4 linked regions of the Pelodiscus sinensis genome follow. The protein of the gene in region 2 purifies or fractionates together with the protein of the main gene of each other region. This does not show direct contact. Links are inferred from orthologs where the notes say so. Each region holds a gene or a part of one and is shown on either strand. Other genes may lie near its edges.

The links.
Region 1: the proteins of CHD3 (region 2) and MTA1 purify together in Homo sapiens (affinity purification with western blotting; 7 studies listed by BioGRID and IntAct, with this or other methods). This does not show direct contact. The link is inferred for Pelodiscus sinensis from reciprocal best matches to the Homo sapiens genes CHD3 and MTA1.
Region 3: the proteins of CHD3 (region 2) and CDK2AP1 purify together in Homo sapiens (affinity purification with mass spectrometry; 6 studies listed by BioGRID and IntAct, with this or other methods). This does not show direct contact. The link is inferred for Pelodiscus sinensis from reciprocal best matches to the Homo sapiens genes CHD3 and CDK2AP1.
Region 4: the proteins of CHD3 (region 2) and MTA3 purify together in Homo sapiens (affinity purification with mass spectrometry; 4 studies listed by BioGRID and IntAct, with this or other methods). This does not show direct contact. The link is inferred for Pelodiscus sinensis from reciprocal best matches to the Homo sapiens genes CHD3 and MTA3.

What each region holds. Positions count from the first base shown.
Region 1 is NC_134719.1:64,828,551-64,836,690, forward strand, and holds the start of MTA1 (metastasis-associated protein MTA1), read left to right. Parts: upstream 1-4,920; 5' UTR 4,921-5,024; coding exon 5,025-5,052; exon of another isoform or gene 5,053-5,093; intron 5,094-8,140. UniProt on the Homo sapiens protein: Transcriptional coregulator which can act as both a transcriptional corepressor and coactivator. Acts as a component of the histone deacetylase NuRD complex which participates in the remodeling of chromatin.
Region 2 is NC_134734.1:10,542,570-10,550,821, forward strand, and holds the start of CHD3 (chromodomain-helicase-DNA-binding protein 3), read left to right. Parts: upstream 1-5,211; 5' UTR 5,212-5,883; coding exon 5,884-6,088; intron 6,089-6,719; exon of another isoform or gene 6,720-6,927; coding exon of another isoform or gene 6,928-7,000; intron 7,001-7,006; exon of another isoform or gene 7,007-8,252.
Region 3 is NC_134725.1:31,508,884-31,516,047, forward strand, and holds the start of CDK2AP1 (cyclin-dependent kinase 2-associated protein 1), read left to right. Parts: upstream 1-4,091; 5' UTR 4,092-4,106; coding exon 4,107-4,335; intron 4,336-7,164. UniProt on the Homo sapiens protein: Inhibitor of cyclin-dependent kinase CDK2. Also acts as a component of the histone deacetylase NuRD complex which participates in the remodeling of chromatin.
Region 4 is NC_134713.1:169,196,792-169,204,546, reverse strand, and holds the start of MTA3 (metastasis-associated protein MTA3), read left to right. Parts: upstream 1-4,491; 5' UTR 4,492-4,827; coding exon 4,828-4,855; intron 4,856-7,755. UniProt on the Homo sapiens protein: Acts as a component of the histone deacetylase NuRD complex which participates in the remodeling of chromatin.

The sequences.
Region 1 (8,140 bases), on a different chromosome or scaffold from region 2:
TTAAACTTGTATATGCCTCTGGGTGCTAATCGCACAAGTACGTTTTAGGTCTGAGTGGTCTTGTTCAAAAGTTGTGGAGCTCAGAGGGTCCACATCTGAAAGGTGCTTTGGTTTTCTTCTTTAACTGTCAGCATACTCAAAGTTAAAGTAGGAAACCCAGGCCTGAAAAAAACAGGGAAACGTACTGAACAGCACCAGCAAAACAAATTGCAGATGGAAATTCTGTATGGTCAAAACTAATTAAGAAGGAAGAGGAAGTAGCTTCAGCTGGTTCCAAGCCCAGCAGGACTGACGTGACCCTAACTACAAAGGTACTCTGGTGGCTGCCATAGTGAAGGGAGGTAACCTTGCTGAAGCTACTGGACAGCAGTTTCTCACTGTGATATTTGAAAATTCAAGTGACTTTCAATTGGACAAAACTCCTTGAGGTCAGAAGACAAGACCTAACTCTAGATGAAGCTGGTGTCTTGCTGGGATTCTTTAACTTTTATTAGATGTTTGTTACCTTGTTCACGTTGAGGGAAATGTGAGGCTGTTTCCTTACCGCTGTCGCAGAAATCCAAGCATGGAAGGCTGGGAATGATTGGAACAGATGCACTAGACGGAAACAGAGAGAGAACAGCTTCAGGAATAATTTTGGTTTTCTTTAGCTTACTACAGTTCCATGTTAGAAGAAAATAACTTTTTCCTGAGGGGTCATGATGCTAACTGCTTGGCTACGTCTACACTGGCATGATTTTCTGAAAATGCTTTTAACAGAAAAGTTTTTCGTTAAGCATTTTTGGAAAAGCACGTCTAGATTGGCAGGATGCTTTTCTGCAAAAGCACTTTTTGCGGAAAAGCGTCCGTGGCCAATCTAGACGTGGTTTTCCGCAAAAAAGCCCTGATTGCCATTTTCGCCATCGGGGCTTTTTTGCGGAAAACAGTACTGTGCTGCTTACACTGGCCCTTTTGCGCAAAAGTCTTTTGGAAAAGTCTTTTTCCCAAATGTGAGCAGCATAGTATTTCTGGAAAAGCACTGATGATCTTACATGAGATCGTCACTGCTTTTCCAGAAATTCAAGCGGCCACTGTAGATAGCTGGCATGTTTTTCCACAAAATCATCTGATTTTGCGGAAAAACTTGCCAGTCTAGACACAGCCCTTGGGTTTAGGAAGGAGTTCTACTTGCATGGGTATAATATTACTTAATTGGTCCATTTGGGGCCAATTTCAAGCATCCTGGCCCCAGTTGAGTGGAGGAATAGATATCTGTCATCTAATAATAAGCTAGGGTCAACTGTGAACCCTGTAGGCCACTAACATAGTCAAACACTTCGGCAAAGGTCAAGCATATTCCATAAGGTGACCAGATCTACTTTAAAAGGACAGACTAGTATTTAGACTCTTACAGGTGTCCTGACTTCTTGAAAATGGGCAAATTGTCTTGTGTGTTCTGATTTCCTCCCTCCCTCTCCCCCAGTACTGGCCAGTCCTGCTGCTGAGTTCAGTGGCTGATGATGGAACCGGGTGCAGCATGTGGGGCTGGCCGCTCCTCCTGCTAATCCACCAGTGCTGTTCTTGCTGCATGCCGGCTCTTGGGGAGCAGCCCTGTCCTCCCGACCTCCCATTTGTGGCCAGCAATAGCTGTGCACTATGGGGGCCGGTGCCTGCAGGCAGGCAGCTACGTGTCATCTCTGCTGCCCACTCATCAGCTCTTTACATGCTGCCCCTCACTGTCCTCTCTTGCTGTGCCCCTTTGCCCTCCCCTACCAGCCCCACTGTTCCTCCACCCCCCACAGTCCTGGGTCGGTGCACTCAGCTCACCAACAGCTTGGTGGGCAGGCTCCATCCTTCCCCTTCTGCTCTGGCAGGGCTGGGGCCTGGGAAAGCTCAAGCCCCTCCCACCCAGTGTGTGGGCCAGGAGGAGGGTCAACTAAGCTCTGGAGCAGGAGAGGGGAGCGAGTCCCCGGTATGCACAGTGCTCCTGCAGGCTCTGCAACAGCAGCCCTTCCCCTGCTGCCCTACCCTGGCACCTGGTCCCCTAGGCACCCTCCTCTCGGGCCAGATTGTCTGAAGTAGGGATGTGAGCGTGTAGTCGATGGTCCGATAAGCATAAGCCTATTGCATAGTCGACTAGTGATGAGACTAGTTGCTTCCCCCCGTTCACTGCCTCTGGCAGAGGCAGCAAGGGCTGTGTGTGCAGGAGCCGGTGCTGGAGGAGAGCTGGCTAAAGCTGGTTCCCCCCAGCACCGTCTCCGTGGGGGGGGGGGGGGGTAGAGGCACAGTAGGAAACAGAGAGAGCAGGACTGATGCAGTCTCCACTCCCACCGCTTCTGCTGCGATTCTGCTTTTGAAATTGTCGTTATACTGGGCTCTTGTACAGTTCAAAAACTGAAGCCCTGTGGGGAGCTGGGGCAGGCCAGTGGGGACTCCCCTACTGGCCCCAGGCTCCCTATGGCACCTGAGCCTTTGAAATGTACAAGGAATGTACTAGCCTTTGAAATGTACAACCCACAGGGCTTCTTGTATATTTCAAAGGCTGAGCCAGGGCAGGGAGCATGGGCCAATCCCCTGCTGGCTCCGTGCTTCCTGTGTGGTTTCCGAGCTGGCTCTTGCTACAGTTCAAAGGCCGAGCGCTCTTATAGACTAATCGGCTAGTCGATGGAAATCCTATTGACTATTCAATTAGTTAGTTAATCTAAATTTAACTTCCTTCGGCTGAAGCCCCTGCAGTCAGGTTCACTGGATGCTGGCGCACAGGGCAGCCTTAGGGCTTAACCGTTTCCTGTCCATGCTGTAGTTGGGGGACAGGAGCTGGGTGGGTTTTGTCAGTGGCCAGCAGCAGCCTGGAGGTGTTAGCTGCCTTTCAACACTGGGCGGGAAGAAACAAGATGCTTCCAGCCACAGAGGAACAGGGTAGGTGGCGGGGGGAAGATGGCCAGGTCATCGTTTCCCTCCCGCACAGTGCTGCAAGGCTGCTGCTGGCCACCTTCTGGTGTGAACCCCAGCAGCAATCTGGGGACGGGAGCATGTGACCCTGTGTGCTCCTCCCCACAACTTGCCCTGGGCTTGCTGTGCCAGCTCCCTGGAGCGGTGGGTCCATCTGGAGCCCCAGCCAGACATGGAGGGTTGGATCAGTCAGTCATCTCGAGAGGTGGATGGCGGTGTGTGTGTGTGTGTGTGTGTGTGTGTGTGTGTGTGTGAGTGACCTTGTCACGTATGAACCCTACAGCCTTAACGATAGCAGGTCATTCAAAAGATTCCAAGGGAGCACTATTCCTTTCTTTCAGGAAGGGGCAGTCACCCTGACGTTAATTTGAATGTGAGTCCTGCATAGTTGTGACGGGTTGCCTTTGAACTTGCTTAAATATGAGTAATTTTACCAGGTGTCCCGTATTCAGCGCAGGGAAATATAGTCACTCCTTCCGGCAGTGGTGCGGTCCCAGCCTCCCTCCATACATTGATGCTTCCCTTCTGCCTCCATCTCAGCTGGACAGTGGTGTAATCAGCTTCTGTCAGTCTCTGCTGGGCAGGCAGGAGGCAAAGAATGATGCTGTATAGTACGAGCGCCTAGGCAAAGAGCTGTAGTGCCTCGTATTCCCGCTTGCAACCCTTGCCCCTTTCCAGAGTCTGCTGGGTGCCTGTCCTCAGTGCCGGCTGCCCCAGCACAGCAGGGCCCCACTTGCTGTCCGCCGCAGGGTGTGGAGCAGGTGTGATCTGGCCGAGGGCAGAGGATGGCAGCTGGGGCCCTGGGGATGGATGAATCCATCCCTAAGGCTACCACTGTGCCCCATTCTCCTGCCTCCTTCCCAGCCCATCCCCCTAGCGCCACTTCCCACTGCCCTATTCCCCTTGCCCACCACTTCCCTCTCAGCCTCCCTGCTGCCCCTTCCCCTCAGCTCCCTCTCCCCCCACTAGCCAGCCCGTACTGCCCCTGCCCCACTTCGCTCCTACCCGCCCTCTCGCCACATTGCCTCCCCCCCCGGCTCCAACCTGCCCCCCATTATCCCCCTGGCTCCAACCTGCCCCCCCCATTATCCCCTTCGGCTCCAACCTGCCCCCCATTACCCCCTCCCCCCTCAGCTCCAACCTGCCCCCCATTATCCCCTCCCCCCTCAGCTCCAACCGCCCCCCCATTATCCCCCTCAGCCCTAACCTGCCCCCCCATTATTCCCTTCAGCCCTAACCTGCCCCCCCACATTACCCCTCCCCCCTCGGCTCCAACCTGCCCCCCCATTATCCCCCTGGCTCCAACCTGCCCCCCCATTATCCCCTCCCCCCTCAGCTCCAACCTGCCCCCCCATTATCCCCTCCCCCCTCAGCTCCAACCTGCCCCCCCATTATTCCCCTCAGCCCTAACCTGCCCCCCCACATTACCCCTCCCCCCCGGCTCCAACCGCCCCCCATTATTCCCCTCAGCCCTAACCTGCCCCCCCACATTACCCCTCCCCCCGGCTCCAACCGCCCCCCCATTATTCCCCTCAGCCCTAACCTGCCCCCCCACATTACCCCTCCCCCCCGGCTCCAACCGCCCCCCCGTTATTCCCCTCAGCCCTAACCTGCCCCCCCACATTACCCCTCCCCCCCGGCTCCAACTGCCCCCCCGTTATTCCCCTCAGCCCTAACCTGCCCCCCCACATTACCCCTCCCCCCCGGCTCCAACCGCCCCCCCGTTATTCCCCTCAGCCCTAACCTGCCCCCCCACATTACCCCTCCCCCCCCGGCTCCAACCGCCCCCCCGTTATTCCCCTCAGCCCTAACCTGCCCCCCCACATTACCCCTCCCCCCTCAGCTCCAACCGCCCCCCCGTTATTCCCCTCAGCCCTAACCTGCCCCCCCACATTACCCCTCCCCCCTCAGCTCCAACCGCCCCCCCGTTATTCCCCTCAGCCCTAACCTGCCCCCATTGGCCCCTCCCCCGGCTCCGACCCGCCCCGCCCGGCGCGGCCCCTTTAATTCCCCTCCCCCTCCCGGCCGCTCCAGCCTCCATTTTCCAGCGGATCCGGCACCTGGAGGCGGCGCGGGAGCGGCCCGGCCCGGGCATGGCCGCCAACATGTACCGGGTGGGAGGTAGGGCCGGGGGGGGGCAGGTGTAGAACGCGGGGGGGCCGGGAGCAGCGGGGGGGCAGGTGTAGAACGTGGGGGGGCTGGGGGCAGCGGGGGGGCAGGTGTAGAACGCGGGGGGGTTGGGGGCAGCGGGGGGGCAGGTGTAGAACGCGGGGGGGCTGGGAGCAGCGGGGGGGGCAGGTGTAGAACGCGGGGGGGCTGGGAGCAGCGGGGGGGGGCAGGTGTAGAACGCGGGGGGGCTGGGAGCAGCGTGGGGGGCAGGTGTAGAACGTGGGGGGGCTAGGGGCAGCGGGGGGCAGGTGTAGAACGTGGGGGGGCAGGTGTAGAACGCGGGGGGGCTGGGAGCAGCGGGGGGGCAGGTGTAGAACGCGGGGGGGCTGGGAGCAGCGGGGGGGGGCAGGTGTAGAACACGGGGGGGGCTGGGAGCAGCGTGGGGGGCAGGTGTAGAACACGGGGGGGCTGGGGGGCAGGTGTAGAACGCGGGGGGGCTGGGAGCAGCGTGGGGGGCAGGTGTAGAACGTGGGGAGGCTGGAGGGCAGGTGTAGAACGCGGGGGGGCTGGGAGCAGCGTGGGGGGCAGGTGTAGAACGTGGGGAGGCTGGGGGGCAGGTGTAGAACGCGGGGGGGCTGGGAGCAGCGTGGGGGGCAGGTGTAGAACGCGGGGGGGCTGGGAGCAGCGTGGGGGGCAGGTGTAGAACGCAGGGGGGCTGGGAGCAGCGTGGGGGGCTGGCGGGAGATGGGAGTGGGGTAGAATCTGGGGTGCATGTGGGTTGGGGGTCTTAGGGCTGGGGCAGAGTGCAGAGTTGGGTTGTGGGCAGAATTGGGGCTGGCAGGGGATGGGGGACTCTGGGGCAGTGGGTCGTAGGGATGGAGTAGAATGTGGGGCTTGGAGTTGTGGGGGCTGACATGTTTTGAGGTTGTGGGCTGGATGCTCTGGGGGGGAGCAGCTAATGTGTGTGGGGTTGTGGGTAGGTCTGGATGGGGTGTGCGGGAGAGGGTAGGGCTGGATGGGGTGCGCGGGACGAGGTTAGGGCTGGATGGGGTGTGCGGGATGAGGGGTCGGGAGAGGGTAGGGCTGGATGGGGTGTGTGGGATGAGGGGTCGGGAGAGGGTAGGGCTGGATGGGGTGTGTGGGATGAGGGGTCGGGAGAGGGCAGGGCTGGATGGGGTGTGCGGGATGAGGGGTCGGGAGAGGGTAGGGCTGGATGGGGTGTGCGAGACGAGGGTAGGTCTGGATGGGGTGTGCAGGATGAGGGGTCGGGAGAGGGTAGGGCAGGATGGGGTGCGCGGGACGCGGGTGGGGCTGGATGGAGTGCGCGGGACGAGGTTAGGGCTGCATGGGGTGTGTGGGATGAGGGGTTGGGAGAGTGTAGGATTGGATGGGGTGCGCAGGATGAGGAGTCGGGGGAGGGGAGGGTTGGATGGGGTGCGCGGGATGAGGGGAGGGTTGGATGGGGTGTGCGGGATGAGGAGTCGGGGGAGGGGAGGGTTGGATGGGGTGCGCGGGATGAGGGTAGGGTTGGATGGGGTGTGTGGGATGAGGGGTTGGGGGAGGGGAGGGTTGGATGGGGTGCGCGGGATGAGGGTAGGGCTGGATGGGGTGTGCGGGATGAGGGGTCGGGAGAGGATAGGGCTGGATGGGGTGTGCGGGATGAGGGGTCGGGAGAGGGCAGGGCTGGATGGAGTGTGCGGGATGAGCGGTCGGGAGAGGGCAGGGCTGGATGGAGTGTGCGGGATGAGGGGTCGGGAGAGGGTAGGGCTGGATGGGGTGTGCGGGATGAGGGGTCGGGAGAGGGCAGGGCTGGATGGGGTGTGCGGGATGAGCGGTCGGGAGAGGGCAGGGCTGGATGGGGTGTGCGGGATGAGCGGTCGGGAGAGGGCAGGGCTGGATGGGGTGTGCGGGATGAGGGGTCGGGAGAGGGGCAGGGCTGGATGGGGTGTGCGGGATGAGGGGTCGGGAGAGGGTAGGGCTGGATGGGGTGTGCGGGATGAGGGGTCGGGAGAGGGCAGGGCTGGATGGAGTGTGCGGGATGAGGGGTTGGGAGAGGGCAGGGCTGGATGGAGTGTGTGGGATGAGCGGTCGGGAGAGGGTAGGGCTGGATGGGGTGTGCGGGATGAGGGGTCGGGAGAGGGCAGGGCTGGATGGAGTGTGCGGGATGAGGGGTCGGGAGAGGGCAGGGCTGGATGGAGTGTGCGGGATGAGCGGTCGGGAGAGGGTAGGGCTGGATGGGTGTGCGGGATGAGGGGTCGGGAGAGGGTAGGGCTGGATGGAGTGTGCGGGATGAGCGGTCGGGAGAGGGTAGGGCTGGATGGGTGTGCGGGATGAGGGGTCGGGAGAGGGCAGGGCTGGATGGAGTGTGCGGGATGAGGGGTCGGGAGAGGGTAGGGCTGGATGGGGTGCGCGTTATGAGGGTAGGGCTGGATGGGGTGTGCGGGATGAGGGGTCGGGAGAGGGCAGGGCTGGATGGAGTGTGCGGGATGAGGGGTCGGGAGAGGGTAGGGCTGGATGGGTGTGCGGGATGAGGGGTCGGGAGAGGGCAGGGCTGGATGGAGTGTGTGGGATGAGGGGTCGGGAGAGGGTAGGGCTGGATGGGTATGCGGGATGAGGGGTCGGGAGAGGGCAGGGCTGGATGGAGTGTGCGGGATGAGCGGTCGGGAGAGGGTAGGGCTGGATGGGGTGTGCGGGATGAGGGGTCGGGAGAGGGCAGGGCTGGATGGAGTGTGCGGGATGAGGGGTCGGGAGAGGGTAGGGCTGGATGGGGTGCGCGTTATGAGGGTAGGGCTGGATGGGGTGTGCGGGATGAGGGGTCGGGAGAGGGCAGGGCTGGATGGAGTGTGCGGGATGAGGGGTCGGGAGAGGGTAGGGCTGGATGGGGTGCGCGTTATGAGGGTAGGGCTGGATGGGTGTGCAGGACGAGGGGTTGGGAGAGGGTAGGTTCGGATGGGGTGTGTGGGAGAGGGTAGGTCTGGATGGGGTAGGGCAGGATGGCGGCGCATGGGGAGCAGAGTTGTGTGCTGCACGTTGGGGTTTTGGAGCAGGGTTGGGGTGCTGGTGGTGCAGGGAGTGCAGAGTTGAGGGGTTGTAGGAGTTG
Region 2 (8,252 bases):
TGGATTGGACCACTGAACCCTGAGCAATTTGCAATCTAACCTGGCACAAGCAGTGTTTTCTCAAGATGTGGCCTGCTCAATCCTTTGTCTTTTGGATGAGAATGTCAACAAGGATGCAGCATCAAATATACAGAGACAAGGATGCAGTCTACAGACATGACGCCAAAAAGTTGTCAGCCGGGGATGACTTTTTGGGTCCAGAATCAAATATGTAAACCTAGAAGCAGATAAAATCCCTGTATTCCAACACAGATTATCTGAGACAGTTCTTTAATCCCTAATCTGTGGTGATTGTTTGGGTGTTCAGATTCGAATGTTCCCAAAAGAAGCTTCCCTGAAAAAAACCTTTGTTGAGCTTTGTGGAGCTTCCTAGTGGAAATGGTCCCACAAAAAGAAATGAAGAATTAATATCTTATCTGTAATTAACTGAGTGGCCCATGGTTGCCTCTCATTGGAAAAAGAAAAATAGCCTAACCATGGATAAATAGTTTAAGAAATATTAGAAATTGTTGGAAAATATTGGAAAAATACAGCAATTGTGGACGCAAAATAGACAAAGGACGGCTATATTCTTAGATATCTGGCTACCTTTTATTCAGTACTCAAAGCACATTCATCTGCAAAACAAAACAACAACCAAAAAACTGGACACGTGTGCAAAATGTTTTGAATATTAATATTAGATAGTCATACCTGATACTTTAAATGCATATATACAGAGATTTCACTCAGTTTAACAAAGTCACTAAAAATGACATTGGTGTTATAATGGTGCTTTTTTGGTAATATGGTTGGTAACACCTTATTAAATAAAAAGACTGGATGACTATATACCTGTGTAGTGTCTCTTGAAGCAAAAGCTAACTGCCGTGATGATTATTTTGTTTCTGATATTTACACAACAAGGATTTGTAAACTTGTTAAAACTTCCTAAATAAATAATTAAAAAATAAAAATAAACTGCTGCTCTGGTCTTTCTGATGGTATTAATGCATAACATTTCTATAATGTTTTTATGGCTAGGTCCTCAGCTGATGTAAACCAGGAGAGCTTTACCTAAGTCAGTGCGAGTATACCATCTTACACCATCTCAGACGTCGACCTTTAATCTTCAGCACACCACATTACTGCCCAATTAATCTTCACCAGGAGACCAGTGTGTATTGTTACACGCAAGTGATTATCATCATTTTTGTTTCACAGAGAGGGAAATGGTTCTGCTTAAATGCCATGGTGGGGTGGGGAGGAGAACAGAAGTATTAGAGCTAGGGGTTAAAATGATGTACAGTCCATGCTCAGAAGTAAAGTGGCTTCTATCCATTTCCCCAAACCTTGACACATCTTGTAATTTTTCCATCTCACGGTATTACAACCTTCCCAAAGATTTTTTTTAATGTGCAAAATTATATATTAAAAATTATACATGTATTTAAAAAATATATAGCTATACAGTATGATACTATCATATATAATTTTGCACATTAAAAAAAATCTTTGGAAAGGTTGTAATACTTAACTAAGTTCACATTTGTAGGGTTAACATTAACATGATATTTTTGCCAGACTTAAAATCCACCCCTCTGCCAAAGGCTACCCAAGGCCTATGCCCCTGTTAAAGCCTATTGCAAGCAAGTGACTGCTCTGGTTACTACCATCTGTATATTATCCTGAGTAGCCCTACAGTTGGAATTACTTACCATAGTAAATCCTATGCCACTATGATAATAAGTAGTAAGCCAGAGTTCAGTTTCAGAAATTGTTCAGGCCCAATTGAAATTTTACTCCCTTATGCTGGGTGCTGCACAAGTGTGTAGCAGAGGAGGCAGACTCTGCCTTGAAGAGCTTACAGCCTAAATAAACCAGACTGCCACACGGAAAGATAAAGTGACTTGCCCTAAATCCTTTAGCAAATGCATGGCAGAGCTGCACATTTAATCCCTTTTCCCTGAGATCCCAACCAGTGTCTTACCTGCGAGACCATGAAGTAGTAAATGCTACATGTTTTCTAGTTCATGTTTGCAAAAATGAGCTGTGGTGAAAGCCTGGCCCTATGGAAGCCACATCCAAAACTCCCATTAATTGCACTGGAGTCAGCATTTTGCCCTCTGGTTCTTTAGGATTGAATGTGGCATTCTCCTATTGTTGTAGATCGCTACACAACTTTAACATGTTATTAAAGAGAGAGAAAAAAAGTGTTGATTTAGAAAACCAGCAGGGAAGAGGCCAAGGCTGTGACAGTAGCCTTGAAAGATTTTTCCAGTGCAAACAGAGGCAGTTCCCTTGGGGGAAGTGGAGACTGGATATGTCCGTATCGACTCTTTGATCCTCTTGCAAGACAAAATGTGATAGGCGAACCATTCTGATAAACACTACAACTTCTCTATTAGTACCATGCTATGTTTCTTCGGTGGTCTCCCTCTGACAGTTGCTGAGCTACAAAGAAACACCAAACAGAGATAGGAGACAGAGGTTAAAAAGAAAACAAAACAAAACACACAACCCACCAAACCATTCCCTGGGGAATATAAACCAGGAGCCACAAACAAGTTTAAGAAGAGTTTTTATCATTGTCATGAATTTGTGTCTTGTTCTTGGTGTGTATTTTTAACGGTATGATAATACCATATTAACCACCTTGCAAACATTAAATTAGCAGCTTGAAAAACAGATTATCAGATGCCCTTTAATTTTTCCCCCTTCCAAGCAGCTAACCAGAAGACGAAATAAGCCAAAGATCATGAAATCAACTGGAAAAAAAACTCTCCAAAACTCTTTGTCTATTGCATTTTAAAGCCAAAGAGTAAAACCTGAGTCCACCCCTTTTGCCTCCAAATTCCTCCAGAACCCTTGGCTTTTAGCACCGCCAAGGAACTGTTTCAACATGAATGAATGGGATCAGCGCCCATGCTCCTGAAAGGCTGTAGGGGGTGTTGAATTAAATATAAAAGGCACAGAGGGAAACATTTGGTTGGCAAGCAGTGTTTCCCTGCAGGCAATGGGCATATCCTATGTGGGTATTTATGACTATTCTGCAGGGGGAATGGAGCTGAGAATTAAGCAGCTAACTGAACGTTCCTAGTGATGAGCATACAAATACAAACCCTTTCCTACCAGGTTTAACACAATTAATAGACATACAGAACTGATGGCTATATTACGATTATGAAAATTATGTCTGCAGTTATAATGCTGGTAGGTAGTTTTCCCTGTGTAAAAATTGCATGATAATGGTCACCTGTCTCGGATTACTATCTTTTTTTTCCCAGATAGATTCCCCGGAAATGTGCAAGGGAGGCTGTCTACCTTGGACCAACATTGCCATGGGGGTCTTTACAGTTCAGAAGTTTTGTCTACAATGTGCTTTATTCAGAAAGTAGTGACTCAGTACTCTGGCCCTTTCTATGATCGTAGCACTTCTTTCTGGTCTTAAAATATATGAAAATTTCTCTCCTGGAACTGACAGTCATAAAGAGAGATAATAGAGGAGAAAAATTAATAATCATCACACTTTCCCTATAAAAATTGAAGATAAATTCTTTCCCACCCAATCCCAAATTGTAATTTTATTTGCTTCTTCTAGGCAGCAGAGTATTTGAAAATTGCAAAAGTTTAGAGACAGGCTGTGACGTTTCATATGCTTAATTGTTCCCAGGACTGTACCTTTGCCTTGTGGTGGGATTAGCATTTGTGCCCTCTTCTTTTATTTTAATATACAGAAAACAAAACAATTAGGGGTATAATATGCCTGAGAAGGAAAACAAAAGGGAGAAAGTTTAACAAATACAAATAGGGAACTACAGGATCTGTTAGGAGTGCCTCAATTAGGCCTTGGTCCTACAACTGAATCTGCTAGTATAGATCCATGCAGGATTGGGGTTTTTATTTTACTTGTTGCATTTTTTAATGTATGAGGATAGTCATAGAAAACCAGATGCATTTGAAAAGACGATGGAATCCGAAAAGATTGCATCCCTTCTTCCTTTAGGAGGTCTTATTTTGGAAGTGTGGGGAAAGGGCATTTGAAATACTGATATTTTCAAAGAAAAAAAATAAAACTATAGAGACTGTATCCCTTATACATTTACTTTAGGAGCTCCCTGATTTTAAGGAACACAACCAAATAGCTTACGAAAATGCAAAAAAAAAAAAAAAAAAAAGTTTGGAATTTCCCAGTTCTAGGTAGAATTTTGTACTTAGTTAAGTCTATTGCAAAACTCCTTGTCATCTCATGGGAACAGACTCTTTAATATTAATGGTCCAGTCCTGCAAACAGATTACATATATCTGTAACATTTTCAGGATCAGGCTCTGTGGAGGTGCATCCAAGTTGTAGTTAGGGCCCAAGCCCACACGTGCTTACTAAACACATTGCTATGGGGATTATGCACTGGAATAAACACTGGACAGGATCACTGAACCCCTATTTTGCCATTGATAAGGACTGTAAGCCTATGGAGTTGCAGGCGCAATGCCAGTCACAGGATCAGGACCATAGAGTTCTGTGTACCTTATACTTTTAGGAGCACCCCAATTCCATTTGCGTTTTGGAGGTGTCTGTAAAAAACCTAGATGGGTTTGGAGTGCTTGCTGTAAGTTTAAGAAAAATCTCCCCCCTCCAAAAGCAGAGCCTTAAAAGAAAAATAAAAAAGGTACAATTACATTCTGCCCCCTGATTTTATCTGGGTGACATAAAATTCAGGGGGGAAAGCTAACTATAAAGAAAGGGCGGTTTTTCTTAATAGAAAAGCGAGGGGGGGAAATCTCATTTTTGTGTGTGTATGTCTGTGTGAGAGTGTAAAACCTTCTTGAAAAACACCAAGGAAAAGACAGAGTTAAATCTGTCCCCTCGATGCACTTCACTGAATTTGGACCGAGTTTAAATTATTTTTTTTCTTGGTTCTTCCTTTCTTGCCCTAAGCCTAAAGAAAAAAAAACCCTACTCCCTTCTGAAGTATTTAAAAGTAGGAAAGGAAGGGGAAAAAAGAAGGCCCCCCTTCTCTTATCTTTCGCATGAACTAGTAAAGCAACCAAAAAAAAAATATATATATATATATGGTGTTACTAGTATGGAACTAGTTAACCTTTAACAATTTATGCTGATGTCACACTGAGCATGAGTACTGATTAATCCCAGCCTTTTCTGTCCCCCCCCCTCGTAAAAATATTTTTATTGAGGGAGGAGGGGAGAAGTATAAGAAAAAAGAAATAATTTAGAGCAGCCATCTTTGTTTTATGCAGAAATCTTTCTCTTTCAGTTCCCCCCCCCCAGTGCCAGGAATATACAAATATTGTTCATCTATGCAATGAGCTGAGAGACTCAAACAAGCAACAATAAGGAGAAAAATTAAGATAAGGGGGAGGGAATCTTTTTTGTTGTGACTGTTTTGGATTGATTTTTGAGGGGGGTTTTGGGGGATTTTTTTCTGTGAACCTCAAGGAAGAGGTGTGTATGCCGTGGGGAGGGGGGGTGACTTAAAATCAAGCCAGCCATTTTGTTTTTTTTTTAATAAAGAAAAGGGTGGGGGATTTTTCCCCCCTTTTTCCCTCCTGGGGGGGGTCTGTTTTAAAAATAATTTAAGGGCGGCCATTTTTGTTCCTTGCTCTTGTGGCAAATATTATGCTGGGCTGCCCCCTCAGAATTTAAATATATTTTAAACCTCTTTCTCTTTCCTACCCCCCATTTTTATATTTTAAAGGGGGGGAGGGGAAAAAGTTAAAAAGGAGTTTTTCCCTCTTTTTGAATCCATGGGACTTTTTCAGGCTGTTCTTTTTTGACTGAGGTGATCTGAAAGGGGGGGGAAGAGGAATTTTGTGTGTGGTGAAGGGGGGTTGTTCCCCCCTTCTCTCTCTCTCTCTGTTTCCCTGCCCCCCCCCAGCACCACCATGGCTTCCCCTCTGAGGGAGGACGAGGAAGAGGAGGAGGAGATGGTGGTGTCTGAGGTGGAGGGGGATGAAGAAGAAGAGGAGGAAGAGGAGGAGGAAGAAGGAGCAGGGGACAACAGCCCAGGCGACATATTCCCGCCTGCTGCTGCTCCACTGGCACCAGCACCAGCAGCATCCACCCCACTAGCAGCTGAGGCGCCTCCAGGTAAACAACCCTCCCCCCTTCACCCCAGAGCCGGGCGCCAAAACACCCCCCACTCTCCCTTCAACGGCTTTCGAATGTTGGCGGGGGGGAATTGTTTGTAAACAAGCAACGGTTGCGGAACGTTGAGGGGCCGAGAGTTCCGACTTCCCTCCCCCCACAGTCCCAGCCGCCGCGCGCGCTGCCCAACGGCTGCGGAACGTTGAGGGGCCGAGAGTTCGCACCCTGCCCCTCGCCCGCTGCCCAACAGCAGTGGAACGTTGAGGGGCCGAGAGTTCACCCCCGCCCTCCGTCCTCCCCCCCGCAAGCGCGCGCGCTGCCCAGAGGGGAGAGTTTCCAGCCCCCCCTGTTTCCCCTCTTTGGATCATTGACGGGCCGAGAGTTCCGACACCCCCTTTCCCCCCCCGCTCGCGCTGCCCAACGGCTTTGATAACGCTGAGGGGCCGAGAGTTCATCCTCCCCTCCCCCTTGCGCGTTGCCCAAAGGCTTTGGAACGTTAAGGTGGGGTACGAGAGTTTCTAATCCCCCTCCCCGCGCGCGCTGCCCAGTGGCTTTGGAACATTGACGGGGGGGGATTCTAGTTTCCACCCGCCGCCGCCGCCCGCGTTTCGAACGTTCAGGATGGGGGAAGGGTGCAGGCAATTGGTCTTGAAGTGTCCTCCCCAGAAGTGGGGCCCGATGCCCCTCCCTCACTTCCAATGAAGAAGGGGACCTACCCTTCCCCCCCCCGAAAGTGGGGAGGCAGCACAGAGCCCCCCCCTTAAAGTGCCCCTCTGCCTGTGAGTTGGTTCATGCCCCTCCTGGGGTAAAGGGGAGCAGAGGAGGGTTCCCCAGCCCCAGAGATGAGGGCAGCTCTATCAGTGGAGGTGGATGGGCCACCACATGGCACTCTCCCCATCCCCAGCCCCCACAGGGGTAAGCAGGGCTGATCTGGACAGGGTTTCTGGGATGGTGGGTGCTTGGTGCAAGGGTGTGTGATCTTGGCAACTGGTGGGCAGAATGGGGCATGCTGGGCGTTGGCAGGAGTGTTTGGTGCCCTGGTGGACAGGCTGTGATGTATTGGAGGTTAGCAGGAGTGTGGGGTGGTTGCCTGATAGGCAATATTGGGCCTTCAGGACATTGGCAGGAGAGGGGGTACTTGGTGCCCACTGGGCAGGACAGGGCCTGCTAGTGGGAGTGGGGGATGCTGGGTTCTGGTAGGAGTGGGGGGGGGGGTTGGCCATCTGGTATCTGGTGGGCAGGATGGGGCCCTGTGCTTAGTTGGCAGATATGGAGGACACCTGGCAGGCAGGACAGGCCACATGGGTCATTGGTGGGGAGGGAACCTCGAGGAACCAGCCACCTGGGAGAGGGCTTGATGCCCTGTGTGATCAGTTGGGGAGGGGGCTTGGGAACCTGTAGGGTTTGGCCTGCTGGTATTGAGGTGATAGGTGGCTTTTGGCCCTCTGATTAGTGGTACTTTCTTGGGGATGGGACCCCGGGGGAGTAGATAGCAAATAGGGCTCCACACCCTACTTGACTTGTGCCTTACAGGATGGGCCCCCTTAGCAGTGGTGCAGTGAAGAGGGATGGGCTCTCTGCAGGGGGAGGGCATGTCAGTAGTGCAGATGACTCTGCTGTCCACAGGACGTGGCCATGTTGGTTACCTAGACCTGGGCATGGCTGTGTCTTGTGGGGTGGGGGTCAGTAACTAGCTTATGTGGAGAAGAGTTGGCACCCCTCTGAATAGAGTTGCATCACCTGAGATGGGATGGGGCCCGTTACTCTCAGCAGAAATGGTTGGGTCAGGACTACATTGTCATAGCGGGAGCAGAGGGTGATATGAGGATAGGGGTAGTCAGTTGTGGTGGGAGTGGAATGGGTCAGGGCCATGTTGGCTGTGGCAAGAGCGGAGGGTGATTTGAGGACAGGATTAATTGAAAGCAAGGAGTGGCTGGGTCAGGGCCAGGTTGTGGCGGGAGCGGAGGGTGACTTGAGACCACGGTTAATCGGAAGCAGGGGAATGGGTGAGTCAGGGCTAGGGTTCCCTGTAAGCTATGCGCTTGGACAGCCACCCAGAGAGATTCAAATACTGCCCAGCTGATTAGCAGAGTGCCCACAGCCAGCAGCATGTGTTTCCACTGGTGATGTACTTTAACAAAATGTATTCTGCACATGGATGGAAATA
Region 3 (7,164 bases), on a different chromosome or scaffold from region 2:
ATTTGTCTAGGTTACTCTGGACCTTATCCCTGCCCTCCAGCGTATCTACCTCTCCCCCTAGCTTACTATCATCTGCAGACATGCCCTCACTCAGGTCATTAATAAAGATATTGAACAAAACTGGCCCTAGAACTAATCCTTGGGGCACTTCACTTGAAACTGACCACCAACCAGACATCGAGCTGTTGATCACTACCCATTGGGCCCAACAATCTAGCCAGCTTTCTCTCCACCTGACAGTCCATTTATCCAATCCATATTTCCTTAACTTGCTGGCAAGACTATTGTGGGAGACGTATCAAAAGCTTTGCTAAAGTCAAGGTGTATCACCTCCACTGCCTTCCAAATGTCCACAGAGCCAGTTATCTTGTCATAGAAGGGCAATCAGATTGGTCTGGCATGACTTGCCCTTTGTGATTCCATGTTGACTATTCCTGGTCACTTTCCTCTCTTCCAAGTGCTTCAAAATGGATTCTTTGAGGTTCCCCGCCATGATTTTTCCAGAGACTGAGGTGGGGCTGACCAGTCTGTAGTTCCCTAGATTGTCTTTTTTCCCTTTTTTTTTTAAAGATGGGCCCTACATTTGCCTTTTTCTAGTAATCTGGGACCTCCTCTAATGTCCACCAGTTTTCAAAGATAATGGCCAATGTCTCTGCAATAGCATCTGCCAACTCCCTCAGCACCCTTGGATGCATTAAATCAGGTCCCATGGATTTCTGTATGTCTGACTTTTCTAAATAGTCCTTAACCAGTTCTTTCTCCACTGAGGGCTGCCCACCTCCTTCCCATACTGTGTTGCCTAATGCAGCACTCTGGGAGCTGACCTTGTCTGTGAAGACAGAGGCAAAAAAAGCATTGAGTACTTTAGCTTTTCCCACATCATCTGTCAAATAGTGGAGACTAGCCCAACTTATTGCCTTTCTCCTTGATTAAAAAAAAATTAAGAACATACACATTTTGTAAGTTATCTCTGCCTCCAGAGTGTGTGGGGGGGGGGAGAGGACATCAAACCATGTAACACATCGGTTCTGTAGGATATGTCCCCTTCTAGTGGCTGACCTATGTAAAGATCAAGAGTCCACTGTTGCTACCAGTGAGCAGACAGCTCAGAGGGCAGAGATGTGATATTGGTACAGAAGATGCCCAACTTCTATCTCTACTGGGTGTCCTGTGAAAAGAGGTTACTGCATTTGATAGCTGCTGAATGTAGGACAATGGAAATGATGTTTTCTGTCTGTAGGATGTGGGTCCATGCCATGACCCTGCCTGGCCGAAAGGCAATATCTCTGAGAGAATTCATCTCTGGCCTCATTGCTAAAATTGCCAACAAAGCAGATTATAGTGCCAGCTGGGATGGTTATTTTTTGTTACAGCCACAAATGTGTGAAAAGAGACCACTAATTGTACATTGACTGCACACCATTAGGGAGATGGGAAACACTTTTGGTCATGTTGTACCCATGCCAATTTCTCTGGGGCCTACCCAGAGTGAAAACTGGGAACAAAAGATAACCAGCCAAGCCAATTAAACTGGACAGGTCTTACAGGTGCCAAAAGATAAGGGTGTGATTTTCTGTGGTCTAGCACATTGTGTCGTCACAGCTAAGCAGGAGAATTGAAGAGTGGATGTAAAATCCTACTTTTCTGGCAGAGTGGCAACAGACACCCACTCTGCAGAGATGTCCATGATGGAGAATCTGGCCCTAAATTATTGAAAACTTTCTATTGGTGGAGAAAGGAAAAAAAAAGGGGGGGGGGGGAGAGTGCTCAAAAATATAGATGGGTCCCTCTACACCTTGTATTATTGTAATTTAAAGAGAGATGATTTTATAGGGTCTTCACTATTTTAAAGACATTTCTTATAGGAACATTGTATGTTTTTAAGCTGTCAATGTGAGTCCCAAGTAAATTCTCTGAGGCCCTGCATCACATGCATTTGTTTACACTAGAATACTAGTAACTCAGAAAGATTCCATTCTATATTTACTTGATAGATGTATAAATGACTGCAGAAGGTCAGGGTAATGGAGAATCGGGACCATAAAAATTAGGTCAAGAATGATGTGTTCTGCAAAGGTTTACAAGCATTTGAGGGATCAGTGTAAACAGTGATGTGCAAACCCTGCAACAAAGGTTCAGGAATCATCAGGCATCAATTTGGAAAGTGCTGGATGAGAGGGGGGGGTTAGCCGCATGACTCCTGTTGAGTTTGAAAATTGCACAGCCACCCTTTAGATGCCATTTTGAAAATATGGGATAAAAAGCATCTAACTTTATGCCTTAAGCTTTCAGGCCTGGTGTTAATGAAGTACAGCGCGCATTACGGCTATGTCTAGACTGGCCAGTTTTTCCGGAAAATCAGCAGCTTTTCCGGAAAAACTTGCCAGCTGTCTAAACTGGCAGCTTGAATTTCCACAAAAGCACTGATTTCCTACTGTAAGAAATCAGTGCTTCTTGCGGAAATACTATTCTGCTCCCGATCAGGCCAAAGTCCCTTTTGCACAAAGCTTTTGCGTAAAAGGGCCAGTATAGACAGCTCAGATTTGTTTTCCGCAAAAAGGCCCCAATCGCGAAAATGGTGATCAGAGCTTTTTTGCGGAAAAGCACGTCTAGATTGGAACGGACACTTTTCCGCAAAAAGTGCTTTTGTGGAAAAGCGTCTGTGCCAATCTAGATGCTCTGTTCTGAAAATGCTTTTAATGGAAAACTTTTCAGTTAAAAGCATTTCCGGAAAACTCATGCCAATCTAGATGCAGCCTAGATGTTTAAGCAATAACCTTCGCGACTCTGGACTTCACTGCTGTAAGTAACTTGTTACATATTTGGAGTTGAAAATGAAACTGCAGGACACCAAGTTAATTTATTTCACAGGCTTCAGCCATGATTGTTCCTATAAGGGCTCTGAAGTGTTTCATGGGTAGAACAGGGAAGTGGTGTGTAGATACTTGAGTTGTAGTGGCTGTTGTATCACCTTATACAAATTATTTAACCTCAGGCAACTCAGTTTCTGCACCTGTAAAATTGGAATCAAGCCTACCTTCTTTTGTAAAGCCATGAATGAAATGAAAACTGCTCTAGCCCTAATTCTGTACCATGTAAGTCAATGGAAGGCGGTCATTAAATGGAGCCAGGATTGGGCTCCATTTGGTTGCAAAATAATAGTAGAAATTGTAACTGTCACAGCTTTCTCAGAGTAACACTCTTACAATGGAAATGCCATGTAATGTGAAAATTCCAGCATGGTGTTTAATTATAGAACCCACTAGAAGGGGTAGGAAGACTGATTCTGATCAGTTACACTCATGTAAATCTAGAATAACTTTAACTGAATATGCCATAGGCCTATTGTGGGTTAATTGGAGGATAACTCTGTTGCAATTAAATTGATCCATTGTTGGAATGAGTATTGGGGTCAGAGATCTCTAAGACTTTTTAAATATTATTTTTAAAACTTAGCATTCTAAATCTGTGAGGAAAATTATTTTTCATTACCATGTCTTTGCAATCAGAAAACCAGTTCATTATAAATTATTTTTATTTTCACTACAACTCTCATTGCTATATTGCAGTCTATATTGACCTTCAACCTCTGGTCTGGTGGTCAGACAAAAATGTATATAATATATAAAATAATTTTGAAAAAAACACCTTTTTCCCTTTGAGAATGTATATAGAAAATTGAGAGAAAAATGCTTAAACATTTATTAGCAGAAATTTTTCATCATTAAAATTAATTGGAAAAATTATATATATTTTAAAAAATACAGATTATTGTCTCATCTCCCACAAAAACCATCAAAGCCACTCTAACACCACAAACTCAACCTTTTTTCTCCTTTTAATATTGCTCAGGAAACATTTCCTCAAACCCCAGCTCACCCTTTTTAACAAGTTACATGTTAAGCCTTCACCCCAAAAGTTCTGCCAAAAGTTTCTGAAGTTAATTTAAAAAACAATGTTTTTTTAAAAGAGCTCTATTGTTTGCTTTGTAAAATAAAATAAAATAAAAAAATTACCCCCCTCCAAAAAAAAAAAAAAATCTAAAGTGCTTTGGGTGTAGCTGTGAGGCATGTGAATTCCTTTTCTCCCCTAAAGTTTTTGGATTCATGTCTCCTAATGATGTATGGATGATATATTGCATTGTGGGTGTCAATATAAGTGACGGCCATATTTGCCGGTGCTGCTACCGCTGTAAACAACCCAAAGTGTCTGAGAGACACAGAGACGCTCCACTGAATGTCAGGACATTTTTATTTCTTGAATTTACAATGTCTCTAGGAATGTCTTACAAGCCCAACTTGAACGCCCACCTCCCTGGGACTTCCATCAACCAGGGTAAGTCTCCGATTGCAACTGGAGGGCAAGTTTTCCAGCCCTTTTTGGAGGCACAAAAAGAGCGCTGTGGTGCAGCAGGAATACCTGGGGAAAGCCCCAGACTGTAGTTTTTGTCCAGTTCTATACGTAGGGTCAGATCCTCGGAGCTGATTCATATCCGCCATTATTACTAATCACAAACAGCGCTGCGCTTCCCAAGGAGCAAACTTCGGCTCCCCGCGTGGCTCCCGCTCCGAGCCCCGCGGCGCCCCGGGGCGCTGCGCCCAGGCTGGCGTCCAGGTGCCGGCCGCCTCCGCGCGACGCCTCTCAGTTGGTAGCTCTTTTGATCCGGCCGTTCGCTTTCCTCCATGATCGCCTCCCTCGGGCTGCTGATTGATCTGGATCAGGAATATTCTGTTCGCGGCTCAGCCGCGACCGCTGCTGGCCAGACGCTGCAAGTGCCTGGCCGCGCATGGTGTGTGGCGAGGCAGCCTTTGCTCTCTGCTCTTCGGGGCTGGGGGCTTTGCTGTCCCCTGTCTGTGCTTTCTCCAGGGCTGCACCCTAAGGGGACTTTGAAAAAAGCCCCTCACCCCTGATCTGCAAAAGCCCCTTTTTCCAGCAGGGTTGGGTAACCTGGGATTGTCACTCAAAGTGCCTTGGAGAGGATTCATTTGTGTTGCATAAATCTCCCTCCAGAATGAGATGTTAGGCGCTTCATTCTTGTTCGAGAAAACCTATTTTTCCCCCAGTCTGTGTTTATTTTTATTCCCCAGCTTCTCCATCCCCTGCAAAGTTACTTTGATGGATTTAACTTTTTATTTGCAAAGGAAATAGTAATTTAAAAAATAATTTTGGTTGTGAACTTTGCTGTAAAAGTGTGTGTGTGTGTGTGTGTATTTGTATGGGTATGCATGTGAAAGTGTGTGTGGGTATAATTAAGAAAATTCAGAACACAGTTGCAGGAATTAATCCAGAGTGGGGTATTTTCAGGAGATCACCCATATATTTATCTCTCTTAGTGGTACTAAAACAAAATATGGAAAAATTGTGTTTAACCAAGCTAGTCTTACCAGGTCACTCACATGCATAGCATCTACAGGTCTGATATCAAAATATCAACAGGAAGAAATGTGACTTTTAAAACAAAAAGGGTAGAGAGAGAAGTTTTGATGTTTGAAGACGGAGTGGAAATATGCTTCAGTGGTTTTGTAGCACTGCCTGAGATTCTGTTCTTGGGGTATTGATGTGCTAAAGAAATTAAAAGTCCCCAAATGGTACAATGAGAGTTGCAATTTTAGCAGATCTCATTCTACTGAAAGGAATTTGTCATCAGTGGCTAGAGAAGAAAGACATGAACTACAACCGTGGTCCTGCAAACACCTATATATGAGAATAGCTTGAAGCTTGTTCTAGCTGACTTTAATGAGAGGTCCAAGGTGTGTAAAATTCAGCATGCATGTCAGTATTTAAAGGATCATGGCTTGAGATCAGCATGTTACATTTAAAAAAAAAAGTCATGGTCCTGACTTAGATTCTTTGTGACATAATAAAGCAGTATTACCATAAAAAAAAACCAAAAAAAAAAAAAAAACCCAAGCATTGGAACTGTTCCTTTTTGTCTCTCACTACAATCTGTCTCATTCTCTAAAATACCTCCATACAAGAGCAGGGACACTAAGCTTTTTGTTTTGATTTTTGGCTTACGTCATGGAGTGAGGGGAAAACACAAGGCTAACTGCACTTCATATGAAAGAAACGGCTAAGACCATGGCAAATAGGTTACTGAGACCATTAGTTTAAGTAACTTGGGAAGTTTTTTCTGTATTTTTGTTGTTCTCGTTCTGTCTATATGATTTCTGATAAACCATGACACGATTCAAGCTTTAAATTCTTTCATTTGATTAGTCCTCAGTGGCTTTTCAGCAGTCCAGTGTTGTGCTCCTGTTATCCCTGTCTAACTTGTGCTTGCTTAATTGTCAGCTTTACTGCCCAGAGATGCTTTGAAATGAAAAATATCGGAATCGTTATCCAAAATGGACTCTCTCTTTCTCTCTGTCTCCTGCCATTATCCCTCCTTCACCAGCCCTTCCTCTAGCTAGTGGCAATGCCAGCATGATGGCCTGAGGCCAAGGGAGTTAGACAAAGCAGTCCTTGCAGGGGCACACATTGCATTGAGAATGATGTGACTGCAAATGGCTTCCTTCCTTTCTTGCTGGACCCTAAACTGAGTTTCAGGAGGATCCTTCTCTATTGTGTTTTAATGAAATACCACCAGCTCAGCTAGAAGTGCAAATCCTGGGTTTGCTTCCAAACCTGGGTCTCCCTTTCCTTTGTATTCTGTGGAGAGGCTGAAAAAGCAGGACATCTGTCCCTTTGGCCCAAAATCACCTCTGCAGAAGCTGCTCTATCGGAACTTGGAGTGATCAGGAGTCAAGTTTTTCAAGGGGAGGTGGCCAACTTGGAGTCCCTAACAGTGCTGATAATCTGTGCTGCAGGGTTTCTGGTGCAAGTGGGACTATAGAGACTGTGGTGACATGCTTCTGAAGTCTGTGTCTTCACTGCAGAGCTCACTTGTGTTATCTACACTCTGGTTAATTCCACTTAGTCTAGCTCCAGCAAGAGTGGCCACACTGCAAAATAACAGGAGCTACCCAAAGTTGTTGTGTGAGCAGCTGATGAGTTGTGCTAACTTGAGCTGCAGATTATACAGACAGGCAGGTCCACCACCCTCTGGCTATGGGATTTTTGTGTGTGGATGGGTCTTGAATTAGGGACAATGATCAGGTTATAAACCAAGTTACTTGTGCAGGCAAGCCCTGAGAGAGAGGAGAGTTGCCATAGGGCAGGGAG
Region 4 (7,755 bases), on a different chromosome or scaffold from region 2:
AGAGCATCTAGATTGGCACGGACACTTTTCCGCAAAAGCACTTTTTGTGGAAAAGCGTCCGTGCCAATCTAGGCGCGGTTTTGCGCAAGAAAGCCCTGATTGCCATTTTCGCGATCGGGGCTTTTTTGCGCAAAACAATTCGCGTTGTCTACACTGGCCCTCTTGCACAAAAGCATTTGTGCAAGAGGGCTTTTGCCTGAACGGGAGCAGCATAGCATTTCCGCAAGAAGCACTGATTTCAGACAGTAGAAAGTCAGTGTTCCTGTGGAAATTCAAGCGGCCAGTGTAGACAGCTGGCAAGTTTTTCCGCAAAAGCAACTGCTTTTGCGGAAAAACTTGCCAGTCTAGATGCATCCTTGTAGTATAGATGTAGCCTAAGAGTTTGTTTGGGTTTTTTTGCTTCTCACATGTGTGCAGCCCCTGACTGATTTTTCTGTGGGACAGTAGCTCCCAACCCACTTGATTTAGGACAAAAGTAAGTGACTACAGGCATGAGGTAGTCCGGGTTCTTATGCTTAATACTGAAGTACATACATTTTATTCATCAAGCTTGCTCTGCATGCTTTGACACCCAGGAATTTCTGAAGTCTATCCCAGTATCCACTAGTGATGGTAATGGCTACCCGGGTAACCAGTTAGTTGCAACCATGCCTGACTCCCCTAACCCTCCCCTGGGCTCTTCATTTAAAACTGAGACCATCAGGTTGGCTCAGTCCCAGCCTGCAGCTCTGAGTTTTAAATAAAGTGCATGTACGACAGCTGCTTGTCACCCCATGCTGCTGCCTCTCATGCAGAGGCAGCAGGGTGGCAGGCAGGAGCCAGTCTGTGGTGAAGTAGCTCCATCCATGTGGGACCCAGCAGCATAGTGCAGCAGCAGCTCCTGTCCGCAGGGGCCCTGAGTTCTCTGCAGAGAGAGGTTGCGCCCATGTCCCACAGAGATGCAGGAGCAGACTTTGTTCATGGGGAGCTTGGCCGTCTCTCTCCCCTGCCCCGCCCACGGACGGGGCTGCTACTGCCTCTGATACAAAGGCAACAAAACAAAGTGTCAGATGGACCGGTTCCCGTGTGCTGCCTCCGTATCAGAGGCAGCAGTACAGGATGGCAGGCGGCTCCTCTGCATGCTCTTCATTTAAAATTCAGATTGGCGGGCTGGGACTGAGCCAGCCTGCCAGTCTGAGTTTTAAACACGGAGCACGGGGAAGGGGAAGTTGTTGTGTTTAACTGGGACCATTATGGAGGCAACAGCTTAGGGTAGCAGGGGGTTTCTCGGGAGTGGGACTGGGAGCACACTGGCTGCTGGCCCTGCCCAGAGGGGAGGCATGAGTAACCATTATGAAATTTAGTGTTTACACAGTTATTAAAATAACCAATTTCTAACATCCCTATTATCCGCTGACTATAAAACTAGGGATGGATTTTCTATGCCCTGGTAACCATTCTTTTTTTGGTTTTCCTTGTCCTTCCCTGGGTCATTGGGACCATATATAGGTTGAACCTCTCTCTCTAATCCGGCACCCTTGGGATCTCACCAGTGCCGAACCAGAGAATTTGCTGAACAACAGAAGGTCAATATTGTGTAGCAGCATTACCTACTCTTCCACTGCTTACTGGGTTCTGAGAAGATATTTAGGGGTAGAGCTAAATAACAGCACAGAACACTGAGAGCCAGGACTGGTGGTTTTAGAAAAACTTTATAGAAGTGCAGGAAACTTGGCCACATCCACGATAAGCAGACATAACTAAAATCATGCCAGACCATGGATGTTGCCAGACTAAAGAGTGCAGGACTACAGAGGGTCAACCTGTAACTTTCAGGTGCTTGAAGGAAAAATGTATATTCTTCAATCAATACCTTCCTTTTGCCCATATAGATGTAAAATCTTCAGCTCATATTTCCTGCCCATGGAAGGAAAGTGCAGAGATTGCCTCCTGTCAGATCTGAGTACAATGAGGAAACAAGGTGGGTGAGGTAATATCTTTTATTGGACCAAGTTTCTGTTGGTGAGAAACAAGCTTTGGAGCTTTTGTGTGTGGGAAACTTATCTAGTGCTGCAGTGCAGATCTGGACTGAGCATAAAAGCCCAAAGGCATTGTTAAAGAGTGAAAATGACTGCATAGAACAGGCTAATCAACCCTGTGAATTAAGTGTGTCCTTGCTTGCAAAACTGCACTTCTTTGCCTTTTCCATTTTATTTAAGCTTTGGTATCATTCACTACTTGAGGAAGTATTAAGAAGCAGGATTCTTTTTGAAATTCCAGATGAGATGTCAGACCCTTCAGAGAAATGTGTGCTGAAGTACAGCTTCTGCTCTCTGAATACAGAGTTCCTAGGGGCATCTAGCAGATTTTCCTTCCAGTGATAGGGAATTCAGACTTTCCTTTCAAAAATGACAATTTTTTTTCAAAGTGGGGGAGAGATGAGTGCATGAAATGGAGAAACCTGAGCCACCTATCATGTAATGTGTTGCAGCAACAGTACCACTGAGTTTTTCCACTGGAACCCCTAAGTCAGGAAATAAAAAGCGTAGTGTTCAACAACATACCAGAAATCTTAACCTAATAGTCACAGGCTCATTTAATAAAAAATGATGTTGGAATACGATTTACTTAAATATGCACTGAAGACAAGGAAACTCATATTTATTATGGCTAATGATTCTTCTCCTCTAGCCCCCCAACAGCTTGATTTCTATGCTACATTTCCCTTTAGATCAGGGAAGAAATGAGATGCCAGCTTGAAAATGCTCAAGCTACACAAGCAGAAATTCTGGGACATGCAATGAATGACCCATCATCCTCTCTGTAAGAAAAAACAACAACAAAAGAGAAGCCTTTTCTTTAAAAGGGAACAGGCCAAACTAGAACCCAGCTGTTAAATGGTTGTTTTTCATGTAATAAATTTCAAATAAACAAGGGAGTATATTTGTTACATAAATATTGATGTTTTGGGAACACTGTTGAATCAGTTTTATTTGTAAACAGTTCTTCAGCATTTATTGATTCCAAGATAAGTTGCTAGAAGTCTTTGTTTTCTAGGCTATATTGTAGACTTTTCTGAGTGCTTTTCACCAATGAGCAATATTGTCAAAAACAGCATAAGAAGTTTCATATGCCACCAAATATTGATTCAAGGAGAGTATCAGAACTGAAGAATGGATAGTGTTTTATTGCTAAACAAACACACAAATGCTCCAACATCAGGGAAAAGCAAATGAAAATCTAACATATTTCAGTGAATAAAAAGGCAAGCGACTTCTTTTTAATGATAGTTACCAAATGGGAGAATCTATTTGATAAGCACAGTGGTCATTACAGTCATTCTCTCTATACTACAGGCAGGGTTGCAGATATTCACAGCTCATTTTTGTGGATACAGATGCCGATACAAATTTTGTATCCAGAATGCTGCAAGTTTGTAGATATCCACTTCATATATACGGGTATCAATGCAGATACCCATGCTCATTTTTTGTGGATGTGGATACAAATTTTATATCCATGCATAGCTCTAGAGTTGCAGCATGGAACAAAGACCACAAACTAAAGAATAAGTGCAAAAACCATACAAAACATAGCACAGAATGGCTCAGATAAAGCAATTAATTAAATCATATTAAGTAGAAACTATGATCCAATGGGACAAAGAATGGGGAAGCTCTACCTAAATCCTATCTTTGCTGCTGACTGACCGTTGCCAAATCACTTATAGAAAGCCTATGATGCAAATGATATAGCAATAATTGGCCTACAAGTTATAAAAAAGGCAGCAACAAACAAGAGGTCTGTGATGGTTGGGGAATCACCATATGAAAGTTGCACTGGACAAGAACTTTAGGATAAACAGCATTATTGACTAGATCAGTTTTGTGATTCAACATTTTGATGGAAATAAAGTAGGAACAATCAACTTACAATGATAATACTTTCCAATGAATCAGAAAGCGAAGGACAATTGAAGTGTAACAATAACTCTCTCAAAGGAAATGCCCGGTTTTACAGGGGCAGGAAACCTACTCTGTGTACACAAACGCACATATTGTACAGACAGGCACAACCTCAGACACACCCAGCTATGCAGGCTCACCTAGACCCATGCAGGAGCACACAAAAGAACGTGCGCTCAGTCACATACACCGAGATAGGTTGGTGCACCCACGCACAGACACACATTCCAGTGCTTGGGCGGACAGGTGCACACTGGCCACTACACGAGCAGACAACAAAGCCCTTCCATGTACAGCCCCTCACCTGTGCTGCTCGGGGTCACACTCACATACTGAATCCCAGCTAGCCAAGGCCGCTCCATGCTTACGCCCACGCCTCGTGCAGGGGCGCATTCACACACACACACACAGGAACCCACCCAGCGCCCTAGCCTCTTGCTCCGCTGTGCCTATGCTAAGCCACTCACACAATGCACTTCCTGCCCCCACGTACCAATGCACCACCCGCCTCCAAGCCCCAGTGCGCTCCTGCCCCCCGAGCAAACCGACCGCGTCCCCGCTGGTCCTGCTGGGGCCAGAACCACGAGGGAAACTTTTAACCCCTCCTCCCCCATTGCGCAGCGGGACACGGCGCTGGTGCAGCGTCCGCCCGGGCAGGGCCATCCGTGCGCTGGCGCCGCTCGCGTCCCCACACGGGCGAGCCAGGAGGGCTCCGGGCCCGGCAGCTCTTTAACCCTTGCCCTGCCGCGCCCCGCCCCAAGCAGCTCCGGGGAGGGCGGCGGCGGCGGCGGCGGCGGCGCCCGGGGCGGGCAGGGGGGCAGAGCGAGCCGCTCCCTCCCGGCCCAGCCCAGGCGGCAGCAGGAGCAGGGCGCGGAGCGCAGACATGGCGGCCAACATGTACCGAGTGGGAGGTATGTGGGGCCCGGGCTCTGCTCCCCGCGCCGCGCCGGGCCGGGCCCGGGGGCTCCAGGCGTGCGCTGTGTGTAGCGCGCTGGGGAGGAGGGAGCCTGGCGCCCAGCTCAGCCCCTGCGCCCAGCCCAAGGAGCCAGCGCCCCACGCCCAAGGGGGCCCCAGCCCGGCTCCCCGCGGGGCGTGGGGAGGTGAAGGAGCCGCCTCTCCGCCAGGAAAGGAGGGGGCCCAGCCCTCTGCCCGCAGGGGGGAGTGGGCTCTGCCTCCCCAGGGGGCAGCCCCCCAGTAGGGGAAGGTGGGGAGCATCCTCTGCCCCCACAGGGGGAACGGGAAAGAGGAGCAGCAGGCCTTTTCGGAGGGGGAGGAAAAGGGCAGCACAAGTGCCCCCAAAGCACTAGGGGAGGGGGCTCAGCAGCTGCCCAGGAGGCGGTCACATGCTGCCTGCGCCCAGCCACCACTAGGGGATGCGACAGGGGCAGGATGTCCCAGGAAAGCTGGGAAGAATGGGTCTCCCACGAGGAGAGGAAATGATGCCACTTCTGCCCCACAATGTGGCAGTAGCAGTCCTCCAGGTGACTAGTCTCTCCTGCCACCAGGAAGGAGGAAAGGGCCTGGCTCAAACCCACATTGCTTTGGCCTGATGGGAGTGGGCAACCTGTATCCGCCCAGCAACTTCTGCAGCACAGCAACGACTCTCGTTTATTATTCCCTAATGTCATTGGCTACCTGCAAGGCAAAATCCTCCCTCTGCACTCTCTCCCTGCCCTTAAGTAATAAGTCAGGTTGGCTAGTTGTGATTGTGATCTTTCCACCAATCAGCATAGTTCTGTGGGCAGGCACCACAGTGTTGGCTTCATTGGGCCAGGGGGAATGGAGGCCAGTTAGGGTGTGTCTGCACAGCGGGGCTTAACTCGAAATAAGCTATGCAAATCAAGCTATGTCAGTTGAGCAGCTTATTTCGAAATAGCTTTTTGGAATTGGGAGCATCTACACGGCACTTATTTCAAAATAGAGCCCTCTTTGACTTCTCTTACTCCTCGTACAACAAGGGTTACAGGCGTTGAAGTAAGACGTCCTTCAGCTTGAGAGTATATGGATCAGGGATGTTAAATTTAGATTAATTAACTAATCAAATAGTTAATAGACTATTTGATTAGTCTATAAGGGCGCCTCCTGCTGGGCTCTTGCTACATTTCAAAGATAGAAGCCTCCCAGGAAGTGCGGGGGTAGTGGGGTCTAATGGGGCTCTTGTACATTTCAAAAGGAAGCCCTGAGTGACCAGTGGGGACTCCTGCCTGGCCAGGGTCTCTGCAGCACCCGAGCCTTTGAAATGTACAAGAGCCCCAGCAGGTTCATTTCAAAAGCAGAATCACCGCAGAACCAGCACAAGCGGAGACTGCTTCAGTCCTCGCACGCACCATTTCCGCTGTGCCTTTACCTCCCCTGCCCCCCATGGAGGCAGTGCTGGAGGGAACTGACTTTTAAGCTGTCTCCCCCCAGTACTGACTCCTACTCCTCTCTCTGATAGCGGCAGCAAGGAGGTGGAAGTGACTAGTTGCATCACTAGTTGACAGTCTGATAATCTTGTTTATTGGATAGTCGACTAGTTGCCACGTCTCTTACGTCCCAAATTTCGACATTATTTCAAAATAACTGCCTCCTGTGTAGATGTGGTCTAAGTTATTTAGAAAATAATGTTGCTATGTAGATGTACCCTTATAAACTAAAGGTGGCTGTGGGTAAAGACAAGCCATAACAATTTCCCTCTCCTTCACAATAAAATGCCCAGTCAGTGGTTACAGTCATGTGATTAGTGCTGCAGGAAAAGCTGAAGTTAGCTTTTCCAACCATACCTTCTCAGTGTTTAATAGCATTCTTCAATCTTCTCCTAATCACACCCCAAACCAGCATCCTACAGTGCATATTGGGGAAAATATAAAGGACAAACTGGACAAGGCCAGTGGGTGTCCTGTTTTTGTGAAATCACTTCCTAATGAAGCCTGAATTACAGATAGTAAAAGTGATGAAGGTGAGATCAATTCCATCCTGTCTGTCCCTCCCAAGGGGTCTATTACAAAAATACAGAGTGGGAAATGACTGCTTAGGAAGGACTATGACAGAAAAGGATCTAGGTGTAACAGTGAATAACAAACTAGATCTGAGACAACAATGTGGTAGGTACAATTACAAAAAAAAAAGCAAACATTATTATAGGACGTTTTAGCAGGAGTGTTATACATCAGAGAAAAGAAGTAATTCTTCCTCTCTACTGAGCACTGATGTAGGGTGACTATATTTTCCCAAAGGGAAATGGGACATCCTACATTGGCACAAGGTACACTCCTGTCCCTTTTTTTTTTTTTTGGCAAAACTATGTATTTTTCCAGTTTGCTCTTGCTAACGGACGAACAGTTGGTAAGAGCAAATAGGATAATTGCCTAGGTTTGTCAAAAATTGGAATAGTCATGACGGTCTAAAAATGGGACTGTATCGGCCAAAATGAAACACATGATCACTTTTTCGATAAGGCCTCCGCAGGAATACTATGTCCAGTTATGGGCACCATATTATGGGAAAGATGTGGATAAATTGCAGAAATACCACAGGAGAGCAATAAAAGTGATGCGAGGTCTAGAAATTATGAGCTATCAGGAAAGATTGAAAAAATGATGGTTTTTAGTCTGGAGAAGAGAAGAAGGGCGAGGTATATGTAAGAAGTTGTCAGGAGGAGGAGGAGAAGTTTTTCTCCTTATACACTGAGAACAAGTCAAGAAGTAATGGGCTTAAAATATTTAATTTAAAGGAGATTTAGAAATTTCAGGAGCCTGTAGAATTTCAGTCATTTGAGGTTTTGAAGAACTGGGTTAGTCAAACATCTGTCAGCGATTGGTTAAATAATATT